3 linked regions of the Caenorhabditis elegans genome follow. The protein of the gene in region 3 interacts with the protein of the main gene of each other region in a biochemical or structural test. Each region holds a gene or a part of one and is shown on either strand. Other genes may lie near its edges.

Region 1 (5,751 bases), 5.9 Mb from region 3:
CGTCCACATATTTCTTGAATTCGCGCTACGCGTATTTCAGTAGAATTGGAATAATTTAATAGTTCAAGACGTTGTCCAACTTTGAAACGATGCTTGCTTAGGAGAGCCTTCCCTTCATCGAATTTTGGAGACAGCGAAGTTTGGCCGACGATTTCGCCATCAATGCAATTCTGAAGTTGTGAGATGATATTAACATAAATTCGGAAAAAAACAAACTTACATTTACATAATTTACCATATCATTTTGGTATTCTTCGTTGATTGCAAGCGGCGGAGCATATACAATTTTATCCATATTGGGATCACTCATTGCGGCGCTGAAATGTTCAAATTTTACTATTATACAAATGTTTCGAAGTTTTAATACGATTGTTCTCTAGAATTTTATGTAACAGAACCATTATTTATTTAGAATAGTAGAAAGAGCTGAGCGTCCAACTTACTTTGCCAAACCAAACATATCGTCCGATAAAATATTGAGCCAAAATTTCGTGTCAGCTCCGATAAACTGAGCCAGAACTCTGTATCCGCAAACTTTTTCAATTCGTGCAAACCATCTGACTTGAATCGAATCGCAGTTCTTGTCATAATCATGGACCACTGTTTCGAACTACAAAAATTGTATTTTAAAACCGATTTACGAACAATATGAACTCACGATAACTCCTTCCTTCACGCATTCGTTAAAATTAACTGTAAGGTTACGATTGAATGCTTCAACTGGAATGAAAGAAGTTTTTCCTTTCTCGAACTGATGTAAATAGGATTCCCACAAGTAGGTCTTATCGAGTTTTCTGTCCGATTTTTTGTTAGCTCTGACAATTTTCAGAAATTCAGACATCTGAAATTAAGACTGGTTTAAAACGTAATTAGAGAGAATGTTTATTGAAATTGAAAGTTAGTTCGATTTGATTTGATATTTCTCAGGCGTTCGTCAAATTCACAGTGTACTCAATATACTCCAACCCATTGGATCCACTGGTGCTACTCAACCCGTGCCTATACTCGCGAAAATTTCCATTTTTCGTGCAATTGTGCAGAAACCACCCATAAGGCTCGAGCTTTCCAAATTCAAATCCATGATGGCCGTCCTGATAGAAAAATATTTTCTTTCGAGCAAACATAGTCATACGTCCAGTGATGTCTTCATCGCGATCCCAAAAAGTATTGCCATCGTCTTCCCAATGCGACACTGTTAATTGGAACACTTCATCAAAATCACACTTAACTTCGACGCCAAACAGAAATCTTGTCGAACTGACTGTATTGTAGAACAACGCGAAGCACAAAATGACTAATTTTAGCATTTTGATGTTCGGGAACTAACTTTTCGGACGAACAAAAACACTCTTAACTATCTGGTGACAAATTAGACTACTGGGCCACGCTAACTTCAATTATTTCGAAACATTTTGCTTTAAAAAAAAAAGAAACAAAACAGGAAAATGGAGAAAATGTTTGAAAAATAATAAAAAAGAAATGAGAGACTCAATGCAGATCCGTCGATTTCGAAACTAGTGACGAACGGACTACGAAAAAATGGGCGGGCTTTTTGTGTTATTAAAAGTGTAACATTTCAAATTAAATTCCAATTGCATACAAACACTTTTTAAAAAATTGTTTTTTTATAATTTCAAATAGCTTTAAAATCAATTTTCAGTTATAGCAATAAAGCACCGCCCAATTTTCAGTAGTGCGCAATTCTCCAGATTCAAAAGAACGTAGCCATGAGAGTGACGTCACTGAACTACAGCGAAAAACGCGCTCTATCGAGCAGGCCCGCGAAGACTCGCTTTTCAAAAAAGACGCGCGCGTTTATATCCATTTCTTGTTTTCGAAGGTCCTAAAATTTAGAGGAGAAAGAGGGATTTCACGTCTCCAATGAACTCCGTAATTTTCGTGAACCGATGATTTTTTTATTCGCGTCCTTTCTACTTTGAAAACTTGTTATTCAGATTATTTCAGAAAGTTATGTCCCACATTAGAGTGGCATTCGCTCCACTCGACACCAATCCGTCGACATGTGGTCTTGAGACGTTCGCAACGTAAGTTTCCGTATATCTTGTATTTTAAATAGTCACCACTTTCAGGCAAATCGAAACGTTGTCTCAAATGATGACCGCGGAGGAAATGAAGGCGGAATTATACGACTGCGTTAGGAGAATTTTGCGGGAGCAAAAGTTTGATCAAATTCGTGAAAACGAAGCGATGCTCCGTCTCTACAAAGTTATGGGTCGATCTAGTACAAACCTGAAGGGAAGAGGCATTTATGAACAACTTTTCAAAAAGGATCATTTCACTGGTTCGCTGAAGTTCTATCTGCAATGGGCAGAAGAATGTGGAAAAGATCAAATGCTGGAGGAATTCAAAGATGTCCTGAAGTTGGCACGAGATCGTCTTTCCGAAAGAATAGAAATGACAGCAATTGAATCGGGATTTCGCGATTTGGTCGATGAATACTTCAATGGAGAATCTGGAGATATGTTCACACGACCGGATGAGACTATGGATCTTTTCAGATTCAATGCGGGTTCTAAGAAAAAGCGTCGCTCTTCGGTTTGCTTTTTGCAACACAATGTGCCTATAAATAACTCGGGAAAAGCTGCATTTGGACCAAAAAGTAAGTTTGAAAAAAAGTTATTATTCTCATTGGAAACTTACAGCCAAAACGGATCTTCGCCAGGCGTGTATCGACAGGCCAAACTATCATGGAATATCGATTGAGGAGTTTCGTTTTGCCAAATGGAAGGACACTTTCGGAGAAGATGTTGATGACGATTACCGAAAACGAAAAGACTCTGGTGTCGTTTTCGTGAAACATCAAGTCATTGATACCGACAGACAAGCCCGCGAAGAAGTTGAAAACCGATTCAACGCCAATCTAAATCCTAGAAGACGTCATCTTTCACCAGTCAGTGAGAAAACGGTTGATGATGAGGAGGAAAAGCGAAGCCGGATTTATTCGCCGCTGGTTGCAACGAAGGATGCTCACAGACCTGCACTTCGGAGCAAAATTGAGAATCCTCCAGCGACAGTGACACTTTCGTCGGATACAAAGTCTGCTTCGGAGAAAGATGTTAGTGATTCCGATGATGCAGATGATGATGAAAGACTCAAGATTATGACTGCCGGCAGAAAAGATGGTAACCCTCCAGACCGTTCCACAAGCATATCTTCCAACTATTCAACTGCTTCTGCAAGAACATCAAAGAGTGGAGCTGGATTGGATTTGATGGCGGAAAATAAGTGTTTGGAGGCACATGCTATGTTTTCCGACACTGTACATCTTGCTAGCGAAAAGACAATGGTCCTTGGCGATGATTCTGTCTTCGTTCCAGAAAGATCTTTAGCTACTACGCAGATAGTTACTGACTTTTCCGTGCTCTGTGATCCTGATCCGACAATGACCATTACACAGGAGCGTCCGAAAAAAGTGTCGAATGGGTTGAATGTTGTTTACGATGAGGCAGCCGAACCGGAAGAATCTCAGAAAGTTGAGGAATCTGAAGTACAACCCGAAATTGTCCTAGTTTCTCCAGTGACGCAAACCTCACCAGCTACAATGTTTAATGATAGTGGGTTTATCGAAAAATATAACAACTTATGTTTTAATTTTTAGTTTATGACGATGAAATCGAGTTTGGCTTTTTCAAACCGTCTCGTGGTAATTTCGTCACATCGACCCCCGCACAAGGAGTTCATTTGGTCAACATTGATGAATATTTCGGAAATAAAGAGGAGGAAAGCACTCACGAACAGGAAGCTCCAGTATTTGTTGCTCCAACCAGCAGTACTTTCAGTAAATTAGTAAGTGCCAGACAAATTTTCGACATACTATTCAAACTTTTTCAGACACGTCGAAAGTCACTAGCAGCAAATCAAGCCGTTCAGCCCTCAGTCACAGAGTCATCAAAGCCTGAACGATCAGATCCTAAAGATTCATCTATCGATTGTTTGACAGCTAATCTAGGAAGACGTCTTTCAATTGGTGCTGATGAAATTCCAAATCTCACTGAAAACAACGAATCTGAAATCACTGGTTGCAAGATTCGTCGGCGCAGTGAAATTATCAAGCAAGGAGACATCAATCCATGGGACGAAACTCTTCGAAAAAAATTGATGTGTCTTGTGCGTCCTCCCCAGAATATGCACGAGTTCCAAGAACGAGCACCGAAGATTCAAGCTCTGAGAGACTGCGAGGTTAGCGGAGAAAAGCTCCACATTCAAACTCTTATTGGTCAAGGTGGATACGCTAAAGTATACCGGGCTGTAACCGATGATCAAAGGACAGTAGCTGTGAAGTACGAGGTGCCATCATGTTCGTGGGAAGTGTACATTTGCGACCAAATGCGGAATCGCCTGAAAGATCGAGGTTTGGAGCTGATGGCCAAATGTTGCATTATGGAAGTGATGGATGCTTATGTTTATTCAACTGCTTCGCTTCTTGTTAATCAGTACCACGAATATGGAACGCTGCTTGAATATGCGAATAACATGAAGGATCCGAATTGGCACATAACCTGCTTCTTGATTACCCAAATGGCCCGAGTTGTGAAGGAAGTCCATGCCTCTAAAATTATTCATGGAGATATCAAACCGGATAATTTTATGATCACCAGAAAGTATGGGAAAACATTTGTTAATTTTAGACGTTATCTTTTTTCAGGATCGATGATAAATGGGGCAAAGATGCTCTGATGAGTAACGACAGCTTTGTCATCAAGATTATCGACTGGGGACGTGCCATTGACATGATGCCACTGAAGAACCAGCGTTTCAAGGGAAGAGCAGGAACAGAAGCGTTTGATTGCCCGGAAATGGTTGACGGTCGTTCTTGGACTTACCAAGCCGATTACTTCGGATTCGCCGCAACAATGGCTGTCGTTGTTGCAGGAAAGTATGCACAGTTGACTGGAGCTAGCGTTGGAGACTATTCGTTAAATGTCGACATCAAGAGGCGCAACATTCTTCGCGATGCTTGCTACGATGTCATTAACAGATTCCTCAACATCCCTTCGTGTGATTCACTTCCGGACTGGAATATCCTGATCAAGTCTTTCTCGGAAATCTGGAATGAAAAGTTTGAAGCATCGGGATGGCGACAGGCGGTTTCCAAGTTCAATGAGGCCTGTGATCTTGCCGCCAACCAAAAGTAGCCCAACACAATGAATTTGTATTTCGTGCTCTTATTGCTCTCTTTTATTGTCTTTTGTATTGATATCATGTGAATAAACTCGTTCGGAGCTTTAATAATTGTGCATCTAATTTATTTCTGGTAAAACAAATTGAATTAAACGAAGTTTTCAGTTTTTGAAAGCTTTCCAAATTTGAACGTGATATTCGAGATTGGGCGCGGCGAGACCCATCACGGTAGAAATTTGATGCGCCTTTAAAGGGAAGTATTGCAATAGATCACAGTTAGATCTAAATAGTTGCACATTCGTTTTGTTTCATCAACTGTTTTCTTCGCGTTTTGCATAAAATGTGATATTTAAAAAAGAATTTAGAAAAAATTACAATTAAAATATTTTCCAGCCATCCTCTTGTAAAAATGGAAGAATCAGATCAGACTGTGGTGAGCGCTAGTGTTTAATCAACTTATTTTGCAAAAAGTTTCAGCTTTTACCAAATGTCGAAAATGAAATTGGCAGTTTTTATCATGACATGCCTGATGAAAAATTGCTTCGTCATATCAAAGCAATTTTCGACGAAGCTTCACTTCGACCATCTTTGGTATTTAATCTTCATTGA
Region 2 (7,552 bases), 7.8 Mb from region 3:
TTAATTGAGTAACAATTTGTTTCAGTTAATGTCTGAAAATATTCCAAGAAAAGCGTGTTGCTATGTTCAAAAATGAATTTTAATAATTCTATGACGTCATAATATGTACCTCACTATAATCTCGACACCCCATCATTATCAAAACTGTTTTTTTCGGGTTTTTCCGAAAAAGATTTTTGAAAAAAATTTCCCAATTTAAGAATGGTGGGCTAAGGACGGCATGATGTAATCGCGCTCCACGACCGATTGTAAATATTTCGAAAATACGTGGGTGCATGTGTACTCAATTATTGATCGAATTGGCGCGAAAGTCTTGTGTTGTCTACGCTCTCTTGCATACCATTGAGTCTTTATTTCTCTATTTCTGCTTAGTTTCTCAAGCATTCACTAATGAATATTTTGCCGTATCTAATGCAACAACAACTTGGTGTTTTGTTTAAATCTTTAGCTCTTCGAAATACTTTATCACATTCTGACTGTATCAGCGAATTTCTAATACATTTTAAATTAGTGAAATTATCTGAATAGCTTTAAAAATATTCCTAGCCTGCAGTCTTTTCTGAAAATATGTTTCGTCTAATAAAGAAAATAATTTTAATATAAAAAATTATTCCAGGCTCTTCTATACGGAGTTCTCCAACTTCAAAAGAAGATCAAGCGTAAGCGAGAAGCTCAACTTTGGTACAGACGCTAAACAGAACACGAGGCGAAAAGAAAGTACGAGAAAGTTGGAGAACTGTGAAAAAATTCGCAGAAAAATGGTCATTTTGTACGAGTAAGCCCCACTTCATTCATTTTTTGTGTTTCTCCACCTTTTCTCCATTTTCTTTTTTCTAGATCTGATATCGATAGTTTCGTTCGTTTTTTTCTGCGGTTTACTTTTTTTTTCGAATAGTGTCTATTTTTACCTCATGTTTTTTTTGGTTGAAAAAAAGTCGATAACATTTTTTTAAAGTTCTATTTTTTTCTCTCATTTTCTTTGGAACGGTTAACAACGCCGACCCTTTGTGGTTCTCTTTTTATTTATTTATTCATATTTTCACAAAGTCTGTGAATTTTTATATAGTGATTTGAAAGGAGATCACGACGCACTTTATAGCGCCGCCAAGTTTTTTTTTTTGGATTTGGTTTTTGGATTGAAAATAATACAAAAAAAGTCTGTGTGGATTGAAAATTGTATTGCGCAAATTCAAAAACACAAATTTTCTGGCGCCTCTTCTGAAAATTGCTGATCCTTTGTCACGGGCACAAACCTATCGTACACATTGATCTCATTGATTTCCTGAATGAGTTAACGTGAGTACGTTGAAATATTTTTTGCAGGATTTTGCAAAACTGATTCATCAGGTGTGCCCGTGTTTTTTGCGCGATTTTGGTCCATTAACTTCCAAAATTGGGAAATCCACACGGAACCGCGCTTTTCGAAACGCTTTTTAGGGAATAGAAAAGATCACATTTTTCTACTTTTTGTTTGTGATATTTTCACTACTGGACCATTCAAATTCGCCTTAATATCCCTTTTCCGAATCTGCAGTTTTATATTTTTCCGTCGTTTCGAGACACAGCGGAGGATCGGAGGTATTGAAATCAATATGTTACCGAATAATCAATGGCAAATACCTATAAACAATGGATTAACACATCAGGAAAATATGGCAGCACACGTGAGTTATTGGAAAATTATTGACATTTATTAAATAGTTTAAAATTCTTGTATTTTACCCAAGGATTTTTCTGTTCCAATCTGTTATTTTTCAAAAAGTAAAACTGATGGATTCCAAATTTTCAGGCAGCCGTCATGAAATTGAGAGTACACGATCTTCAGGTTAGATACCGTTTTTAATCAATCTTTATTGTTCAATACCTCAACGAGAAGGCGATGTGAATCAAGAATTTATGAATTTCAGTCGATTATCTCGCAATTGTCACTTCGAAAGCCACGTCCACAAAAATCGGAGCATCAGAAGGTCGTCGTTGAATCCTTGCGTGATCCTCATCATGCTCGGCAAATTTATCAAATGGTCATTTGTTTTTCTCGTTATTTTATTTATGTTTTTTTTTAAATGATGTTTTACAGCATTAATTTTCTCGAGTTTACAGGCTTCCAATTTCCCGAACGGAAATTATGAGGTAAGTATGAAAAAGTTAAATACTTTCAGTTAAAAAAAAACTATGTCAACTTTGATTAAATAGATGTGTGAGGTACTTTGGGTAACGTTTACCAGTGTTCTACCTCGGAGGAAATTATTCATTCACCTAGTATTGTCTCTTTACTCACACAATAAGTCTCGCATTTATCTCCACTAGCATCCTCATACCCACCATATATGTAGCCCTTTGTTTCTCTAAGTTTCCTCAAATATTTCATCCATTCTGCACTTGCTTCCTCGCAGCTCCGGCAACGGGACTTTCGCCCGTAATAAGGTGTTAAAAACCTCAAAAGCAGTGGATCTTCGAAAATTTCTTAGTTGTACTTTGCCCTGACCTTCTTTCCATGTTTCATACGTGTAGCTTGGCGCGTAGTTTTTCATTACAATTTTTATTTTACTAGATTGATTCTTTTGAATACTGTCACACTTTTTTGAAAATCAAATTCAAATTTTCACTCCTAAAGAGGTATTTGAGTTTTTTAATAATTGTTTCACTTTGAAAAATCGATATGGAAGCGAATTGGCACGATGTCGCTCGTGAGAAACTGGGAATCGTTTTTTTTTTTGTTGTTATTTCACAACAGTTGATTCGAATGCGCGTAACTATTTAAATCAATCGAATTTTTAGTTGGCTTATTATTGAAATTTTACTAAATTTTAAGAAAGTCCTGTTATCAAAACTCCAAAAAAACGGCTAGGTTTATCAATATATATCATTTCTTCGCAAGCACCTCTCCTGATGACATGTGCGCTCTATTGAGAAACAAACGTTCAAAAAATCTCTTCCGCTTTGTTTTTTATTCCCAAATGTATTTTTGCAAATGTTCTAATTGTCTAAAATATTCCACATATTTAAAGTTAGAGCCTAAAAAATTGTTTGTAAATCGTTTCTGTTTTAATAACTAAATTAAAAAATGTCAGATGCAGAAGCGACCTGCAACAACATCCCAAGTTCGGTCTCATCCATATGTGCTGCCATCTCGATCTGGAGCTAGTAATCACTTGGTCAATCATCATTATCAGCAGCAACAACAACAACAACCACAGCCTCACAATCTACTTCATCAACAAATGATGGCGTCACATCATTCACATCTGCAACAGCAGCACCATCCGTCGACGGTGAGATGGCTAACTCCTGAACTGCTCGAAGAGCAACTGAGGGGCTCGATGAGATACGGCGCTCCCGCTGCTGCTGCTGCTACCAACGCGCCGCTCCATTCATCTTTTCCTAATCATGGACGTTCTTCTCAGCAAAGTTTGCAGAAGTCGGAAAAATCAAATAGGGTGAACATTTTCGCCGCATTTTTATTGCCTGAAATTCACGATAAGAATGAACGCAAGAATATCGAGGCGGAAAGCATGTGAAGATATACTTTCGGTTTATGACCGTAACGGAAAATTTACCTGAAAAAATTACACTGGTAGCTTCTTCTGGGCACATATATCATATTGGCCAGTCGCGGTTATTTGAAAATTCCTCAATCGTGATACATTATGCAAACAAATGTCCTACCGTTTATTGAATGCACTTTTTTGAATTGCGTGTAGCATTCAAAAAAAAGAAAGAAAAATTCGAAGCTCCAAGATTTGCACGCTGTTATCACGAAATTTTCTGCATGATTCCGAATGGCGTAAAAACTAGAACAAGTGTGGTTTTAAGATATTACAGTATGGCATTCTTAGGAGCATGTTCATGAAGAAAAGCTTAATATGATAATCCTCTCTAGGCATTTCTTCATATTGCCGTGCTCAATTTTCAAATAGTTTTATTTCCAATTAGTTCGTAGTAGCATGTAAAAGTGTTTTTTTACTACCAAAAAGCAGGCATCATTAGAAATTGCGCGGCATGTGTTATACAGTTCGCTCACACGAGTTCAATGTTATCACCTGAAAATTGCTTTCAGCGTCTCTTTCTTACATTCCCACATGTCTAACCCATGTATTTTTTTTTCAGCCGAAAAAAATGTATGCTGATAATTTTGAACCGCTTCCACTTCCATTCTACGATGTTATTTCTGTTTTGCTGAAGCCTGTCGAGCTGCATTCATCAGACAGTCCAACTTTGAAGCAAACAAAACAGGTTGGTCTCAATTTACTCGCTCTCCAAGCCGGTTACCTATTAATTACTAATTTCAGTTACAATTCCCGTTCTTATTGACTGCTGAGCACATCTCCAAGATTTCGTATCGAGCTGATGTTACACCTCTTCCACGATATGAATTGCAGTTGAGGTACGTTTTATTATCATTGAAATCGGTTTAAATCCTTGTTTTCAGGTTCTTCAATCTTACTGAACCAGTTCAGGGTCCTCAAAAAGACGACTTTCCACTCAATTGCTACGCACGTGTTGATGATTCTGTCGTTCAATTGCCGGTATGAGATTTGAAACGTTCACGAAATATATTTAATTTCAAAATATCAATTATTGTTAGGAGTTACTATTTCTTCAAATTTCAGAATGTAATCCCAACAAATAAGACAAATGCTGAGCCGAAACGACCATCTCGTCCAGTGAATATCACTTCAAACATGAATAGATACAAGAAAGAGCACACAGTTGCAGTCGAATGGTTAGCCGACAAACGTGTATGGGCAGCTGGAGTTTATTTCGTTCATCGTGTTAACTCGGATATTCTCTTTAAACGTCTTAATCAGAATGTATCAAGACATCGATCACTTGAGGTTACCAAGCAAGAAGTGATCAAGAAACTGTCTGGAGGTGAAGATGATATTGCTATGGATCGTCTTAATATCAGTCTTCTTGATCCACTGTGCAAGACAAGAATGACAACGCCTTCTAGATGCCAAGATTGTACCCATTTGCAATGTTTTGATCTCCTCTCATATTTGATGATGAACGAGAAGAAACCAACGTGGCAGTGCCCTGTTTGCTCGAGTAACTGCCCATATGATAGACTTATTGTTGATGAGTAAGTTTTCAATTCACACTGACTAACTTTGATTTTAAAAAAAAGCGAATTATCTCAATTCTATGTTTTCATTATTTTTCTATTAACTCTTAGATACCGTTCCCTCACTTCGAAATTTCCAATTCTTGTGAAGACACTATTATTTTTCCAAACACAATTGTTATCTATAGCGATGGACAACACCCTTAAAATAGCCATGATGAAACGGTGATTAGGAAATTCGGAAACGCGTCGTCTAAAATAGGCATGTATTTGCAAATATAGTCTACGATTATTATCAGTAGTTCGTATTGGTCTCCAACTCAAAATTCAGCTCATGACGTAAGAGAACATGAAACAAATGGCAAAGGTCAATCATCATAATTGAGCAAGAGTTTTAATGTGTAATTGAAAATTATTATTATTCAGAAATTCAAAATCCCTGTAAATAATTCTCAATCAATTAATAATCCAAATAGTGTTCTCACTCTTATGTTTACCATGATCCAGATTCATATTGTGAACAGTGCATCATGGACAAACAACAAATTCGATGGCTAACTTCATGCAGTTTTGTGTGAAGCTGTCTGTTCGCACTATTCGCTCGTTTTCTTAATTGGAAAATACTTTTTAGTCACGGAAATGCCTGAGAAACTGCTTAGACGTTACCCAATTCAACATTTTATTTAAGAAATATTCAAATATCAAAATAAAAAGCAATGTTCTGAGACTATGCAAATATTGTTTCATCTTTCAGTTATTTCCTCGATATGCTTGCAAAGGTGGATAAGAATACGACGGAAGTTGAACTTAAGGAAGATGGCTCGTACGATGTTATCAAGGAAGAAGCTTTTTGCATCTCAGATGATGACGACGATGACGTTGTACCTGCTACTGTTAACGGTACAGCGTCATGCTCTTCGACAAATGGCAATGGACTTGCAAATGAAGCAGCGAAGAAAAAACCAGCTGACGACGACATAATTACCTTGAGTGATGACGATGATGAGGAATTGAACAGAGGTATAATGAACTCTCTGAACGACAGCTTCTCTCCTGGCAGACACACAGGTTTGCTATTCAAATGGCGTGGTGTGAGACAAGCTGAGAATATTGCAGTTTCTAGCAATATCAATTAAAAGTATTCACTTGAAATTCAAATCTTATTTCAGCTTCCGCAGAATTGGCTGCTCAAAAGACACCACCACAGCAGAAAAAGAAGACGAAAGACGATGACATAGAGATTATTACTCTCGATGATACACCACCTCGTCCAGTAGCTGCAAGTGCAAATCTTCCAATGCGTCAGATGTCTCAACAGAATCAAATGCCAGTTGGCTCATCTCCATCTGGAATGGCCTCAACGCAAATGGGAATGAACGAGGGTGCAAGTAAAACTATCCGGGATGCGCTGAACAAAATAGGAGAAGTAAGTTCAGAAAAACACAAATCTTCAAAAGAGCCAATATTGTTAGTTATTTTCCATAGTTTTAAGAGGATTTGTTCTTAATTTGACTGAAATCAGTATTCTAGTTATAACTTATCCGTTTTTAACCAAAACTAATACAAAGATTGAATTATATATTTGATTATATTATTATATGATATTGTTAAACTAACATCTGCTTCTCCCTGTCCACACTCACTAAACTGTCTGTTTGTTGCAGCAGTCAGCAAATTCATCAACACAATCATCTCCGCTTGTTCAACTTCACCATACGACACATCCATTGAATTTTGCTCAATCATCTTATATGAATCCCTCTTCAGGATCTCAAACACCTACATCACAATACGGATATTCGGTATGCCAGCACGTGTTAATAGTCTACCACACGCACTAATACTCTAGTGATATTTTTTCATAACGACAGAACAAAAAAATCCTGTTTTAATCTCTTTTTTTTCTTTGTTCAAGCCCCTATTAATTGGATAAGATACTTAGATGATTGTCCACTGCACTAGAATTCTGTCGAATTGAAAAAAATGCACTAGTTTTACGTCTGGAATTATAAACTTAACAAATATTTTTCAAAATTTTTTAAAAATTGAACTCTCGTTTTCAGCCAATGATAAACCAGGCACCACACTTCCAAATGCAAAACGGGCTCATAGGGCGAAACAATCAAATGGTTCATATGCAGCAGCACCATCTTCAGCAGCAACAACAGCAGCAGCAGTCACCACAAATCATGTCTCCGTCTTTTTATGCTCAACAGCAAATGTCAAACGGTAATTTTTTGTACACCTTACAAAGTTTTTGTATATTATGTTTAAACATCAAAACAATCACTTCACGATCTTCAGTTAATAGCGAGTAAACTTGTTGTGTAATTGCAACCATCCTGCATGCAAATATATATTTATTTCCCTTACTTGGTTTGGCCTCACTTTCAGGTGACACCAATAACATCCAACCACCACGAATTCTTTCCATGGCTGAAATACAAGCAAATGCATCTCGACTTTTGGTAAATGGACACCTGATGA
Region 3 (2,745 bases):
ACTGTCCCACGGGAGTAAATTTTTCGGAAAAATCGATAATTTTTTGAGTTTTGAGCTGTTAAAGCATGCAAAATGCCGAAATTTTATCGAAAAGTAGAAAAATTAGCCCCGCGGAGCTGGAAAATCCAGAAAACCTCAATTTTTCCGAATTTTCACGTAAAAATCGATATCTTCCAGGCAATCACCATCGAACCCGGCTGCTATTTCATTGATTTCCTGCTCAACGAGGCGCTCGCCGACCCGAAAAAGAGCGAATTCCTCGTCAAATCCGAAATCGACAAGTACCGCGGATCAGGCGGCGTCCGTATCGAGGATGACGTCATCATTCGTGCTTCTGGTAACGAGAATCTGAGCGATCTTCCACGAACCGTCGAGGAGATCGAGAACTTCATGGCTAGTGGAGGCGAATGGACGGAGAAGGTCATCGAATCTCGTGTCTCTGATTTCTTGTCCAAGTGATTTTTTGTCTACTGATTCTAATTTATCATCATTCCTACTACTATTACTGTGTTATTTTTTCATGTAAAATAAAATTTAATTTTTAAAAATTTGGGATTTTCCGAAAACGAAGAGTTTATTTGTAAGATAAATAAGTTATTTTAAACTTTTTTGGTTGTATAATATGATTCGAAATGTGGAAAATAGATTAAATGAGACAGAGAAACCGAGTATCTCAGTGGAAAAGGGATGGATGGGTGTTTGTTTTCGGATTAGAGTGTAGGTAGAGGACTAGAATCCGCCCAGCTGCTCTTGGTAGACCTCGATGACGTCATCGTCCTCCATCTCGAGCGTCTTCGGTGTGTCATCGTCGTTGATGCGACGTCCGTCGAAGAGGAAACTGCAAATATTTAAAGTTGATAGGAATTGGCGCGGATTTCCAAAACTCACCGAAGACTGTTGACGGCGACACCGGTTCTGTCAGCGTACGACTTCTTCAGCTTGGCCATAGAGGTTCCATACTTTACACGGAAGTGCACTTCGTTGCTGTCCTGCAATTTTTTTGGGAATTATTAACAAATTCGCGGCGAATTTCCAGTCAAATTACCTGTCCAACGACCTTGATCTTGATGTATTCGGCGTTGTCGCCTGCTTGAGCTGCATCATCGGCCATCGTTTATAGCGGGAGTCTCTGAAACGAAATTAGATTTGAAAAGAGAAAAAGAGATAGAAGGAGAGAGGTAGAGTTGCTATGGAGAATGCAACTCACACGAGTGAAAGGTATTAAGAGTGCAGAATGATGACTTTCTAGGGTATTTATATAGACGCTGTAACAAATAAAATCGATAATTACAGAACAGCTGGCTGAGCCACAAGATGCTTGAAAAATTAGGAATATCGATTGTCTGGGGAGCGCTGCGCTGAGAATTTCAAGAATATCACTGCGAAATTCAGAAAAAAAACCCATTTTTCTCAAGGAAATCCTTTTTTTTAGGATATCCAGTTCCTATCAAGTTTTCTACGTGGTTTTTCAGCGAAATTGACGAAATTTAGAAGCAAAACTTAATTAAACGCATCGCGACCGGAGAAAGAAGGCAAAAATAAATGAAAACACACGAAATGAGCCGAAAAATCGGGCAATACGCGCCTAAAAACCTTTTCGAAATGATTTCCCGCGTTGCAGAGTGTGCATGTTCACGCCGCGGTGTTTGCACACAATGCACCGCATTTCACGAGCAACACGAGGGTACGGTAGATTTTGGACAGGTTTTTGACCAAATTTGGTGCTTTTTGGACTGAAAAAATAAGAGATTTCGGCCTAAAATAGATAAATTGGTGAATTATTTGAGTTTTCAACGAAAAAAATGTTTTGAACAAGTTTTCGGAACAAAATTCAAGGTTTTCGCTTGGTTTTTGAGGAAAAACTCTAAAAATACCGTTTTCCAATATGTAACAAGGCAAACTGGATTTTAAAATATAATTTTAAGCTAAAAACTACAAAAACAATTGTTAATGAGCATTTTAGGCCAAAAAGCGATCGATTTAATTCGCGCGGTATCGTCAGGTCTCATCGTGAAATTGCAAGCGCGCTCTAATGTGAATATCGATTTTTCTTTATTAAAAATATATTCAAATTTAATGCTTTATACATATTTATGAAATCAATTAAGAACAGCAATTTCCAGTGTTTTCGACCTCCTTAACCGTCATCAACGGGCCAACGAAGAAATATCCGATGGCGTGGCCTAAAATTTACGAATTTTAAGCTTTTCTTCTAAAAATTCAAAAAAAAAAAAAAATAAATAAAACCTGCTAAAAGCGAGAAAAATAGCGGATAATTATATGTCATTGCTACCAGCATCAACGAATAATCCACAAAATTTTGAAGAAAAAATAGAAAAGAAGACGCAAAATGTCTCCAACTTGAGATGGATTCCATTGTAAATCTGCAATTTATCACCTTTTTTCGGAATTTCGTATCCTGGAATATTTTAAGCCAACTCACGGAGCCAACGATGCCAGTTTGCCACGTGGCGACGGCTCAGGCTCTTCCGGAATCTCCCAAATGCCTTCAGGCGTTGAGCAACAGCAATCGACGGCCTACAATTTTTTTTTTGGAATTCAGGAATTCCCGAAAAATAAAACACGGGTTTCTGGCTTCCCTCATAATTTGAAATGGAAGAGTTTTTGCCGAATTAGGCCATTTTGGCTCGGCCATATCTGGCGGCGCGTAGCGGCTCAATTTTAGTTGAAAAACTAAATGTGATTTGTCCGTGTGGAGTACACGACTTTCCCGTCCGGCAGGCG

Evidence for each region.
Region 1: of the proteins of smo-1 (region 3) and bub-1, one has a biochemical effect on the other in vitro, tested with the Caenorhabditis elegans proteins (one study listed by BioGRID).
Region 2: of the proteins of smo-1 (region 3) and gei-17, one has a biochemical effect on the other in vitro, tested with the Caenorhabditis elegans proteins (one study listed by BioGRID).

Annotation. Positions count from the first base shown.
Region 1 is NC_003279.8:7,249,976-7,255,726, forward strand, and holds bub-1 (Mitotic checkpoint serine/threonine-protein kinase bub-1), read left to right. Parts: upstream 1-1,965; 5' UTR 1,966-1,971; coding exon 1,972-2,045; intron 2,046-2,090; coding exon 2,091-2,620; intron 2,621-2,663; coding exon 2,664-3,575; intron 3,576-3,619; coding exon 3,620-3,807; intron 3,808-3,852; coding exon 3,853-4,622; intron 4,623-4,666; coding exon 4,667-5,156; 3' UTR 5,157-5,248; downstream 5,249-5,751. Other genes in the region: Protein lin-61, read right to left, coding at 1-170, 221-317, 444-610, 659-841, 945-1,307; ztf-15 (C2H2-type domain-containing protein), read left to right, coding at 5,552-5,575, 5,620-5,733. UniProt on the Caenorhabditis elegans protein: Serine/threonine-protein kinase essential for spindle-assembly checkpoint signaling. Plays a key role in the recruitment of the checkpoint proteins bub-3, mdf-1 and mdf-2 to unattached kinetochores. mdf-1 recruitment is independent of bub-1 kinase activity.
Region 2 is NC_003279.8:9,101,580-9,109,131, reverse strand, and holds the start of gei-17 (E3 SUMO-protein ligase gei-17), read left to right. Parts: upstream 1-1,549; 5' UTR 1,550-1,592; coding exon 1,593-1,664; intron 1,665-1,789; coding exon 1,790-1,825; intron 1,826-1,907; coding exon 1,908-2,021; intron 2,022-2,100; coding exon 2,101-2,130; exon of another isoform or gene 2,131-2,144; intron 2,145-2,434; exon of another isoform or gene 2,435-2,532; intron 2,533-2,812; exon of another isoform or gene 2,813-3,025; intron 3,026-3,071; coding exon 3,072-3,437; intron 3,438-4,107; coding exon 4,108-4,233; intron 4,234-4,289; coding exon 4,290-4,384; intron 4,385-4,429; coding exon 4,430-4,526; intron 4,527-4,610; coding exon 4,611-5,083; intron 5,084-5,819; coding exon 5,820-6,133; intron 6,134-6,234; coding exon 6,235-6,491; intron 6,492-6,729; coding exon 6,730-6,867; intron 6,868-7,128; coding exon 7,129-7,294; intron 7,295-7,459; coding exon of another isoform or gene 7,460-7,552. Other genes in the region: nduf-7 (putative NADH dehydrogenase [ubiquinone] iron-sulfur protein 7, mitochondrial), read left to right, coding at 617-694. UniProt on the Caenorhabditis elegans protein: Functions as an E3-type smo-1 ligase. Mediates smo-1 conjugation to air-2 in vitro and is required for proper chromosome alignment.
Region 3 is NC_003279.8:1,339,069-1,341,813, reverse strand, and holds smo-1 (Small ubiquitin-related modifier), read right to left. Parts: upstream 1,137-2,745; 5' UTR 1,112-1,136; coding exon 1,046-1,111; intron 990-1,045; coding exon 889-989; intron 839-888; coding exon 730-838; 3' UTR 549-729; downstream 1-548. Other genes in the region: K12C11.1 (Xaa-Pro dipeptidase), read left to right, coding at 178-459; K12C11.7 (Copper transport protein), read right to left, coding at 2,104-2,183, 2,248-2,384, 2,444-2,538. UniProt on the Caenorhabditis elegans protein: Ubiquitin-like protein which can be covalently attached to target lysines as a monomer. Does not seem to be involved in protein degradation and may function as an antagonist of ubiquitin in the degradation process.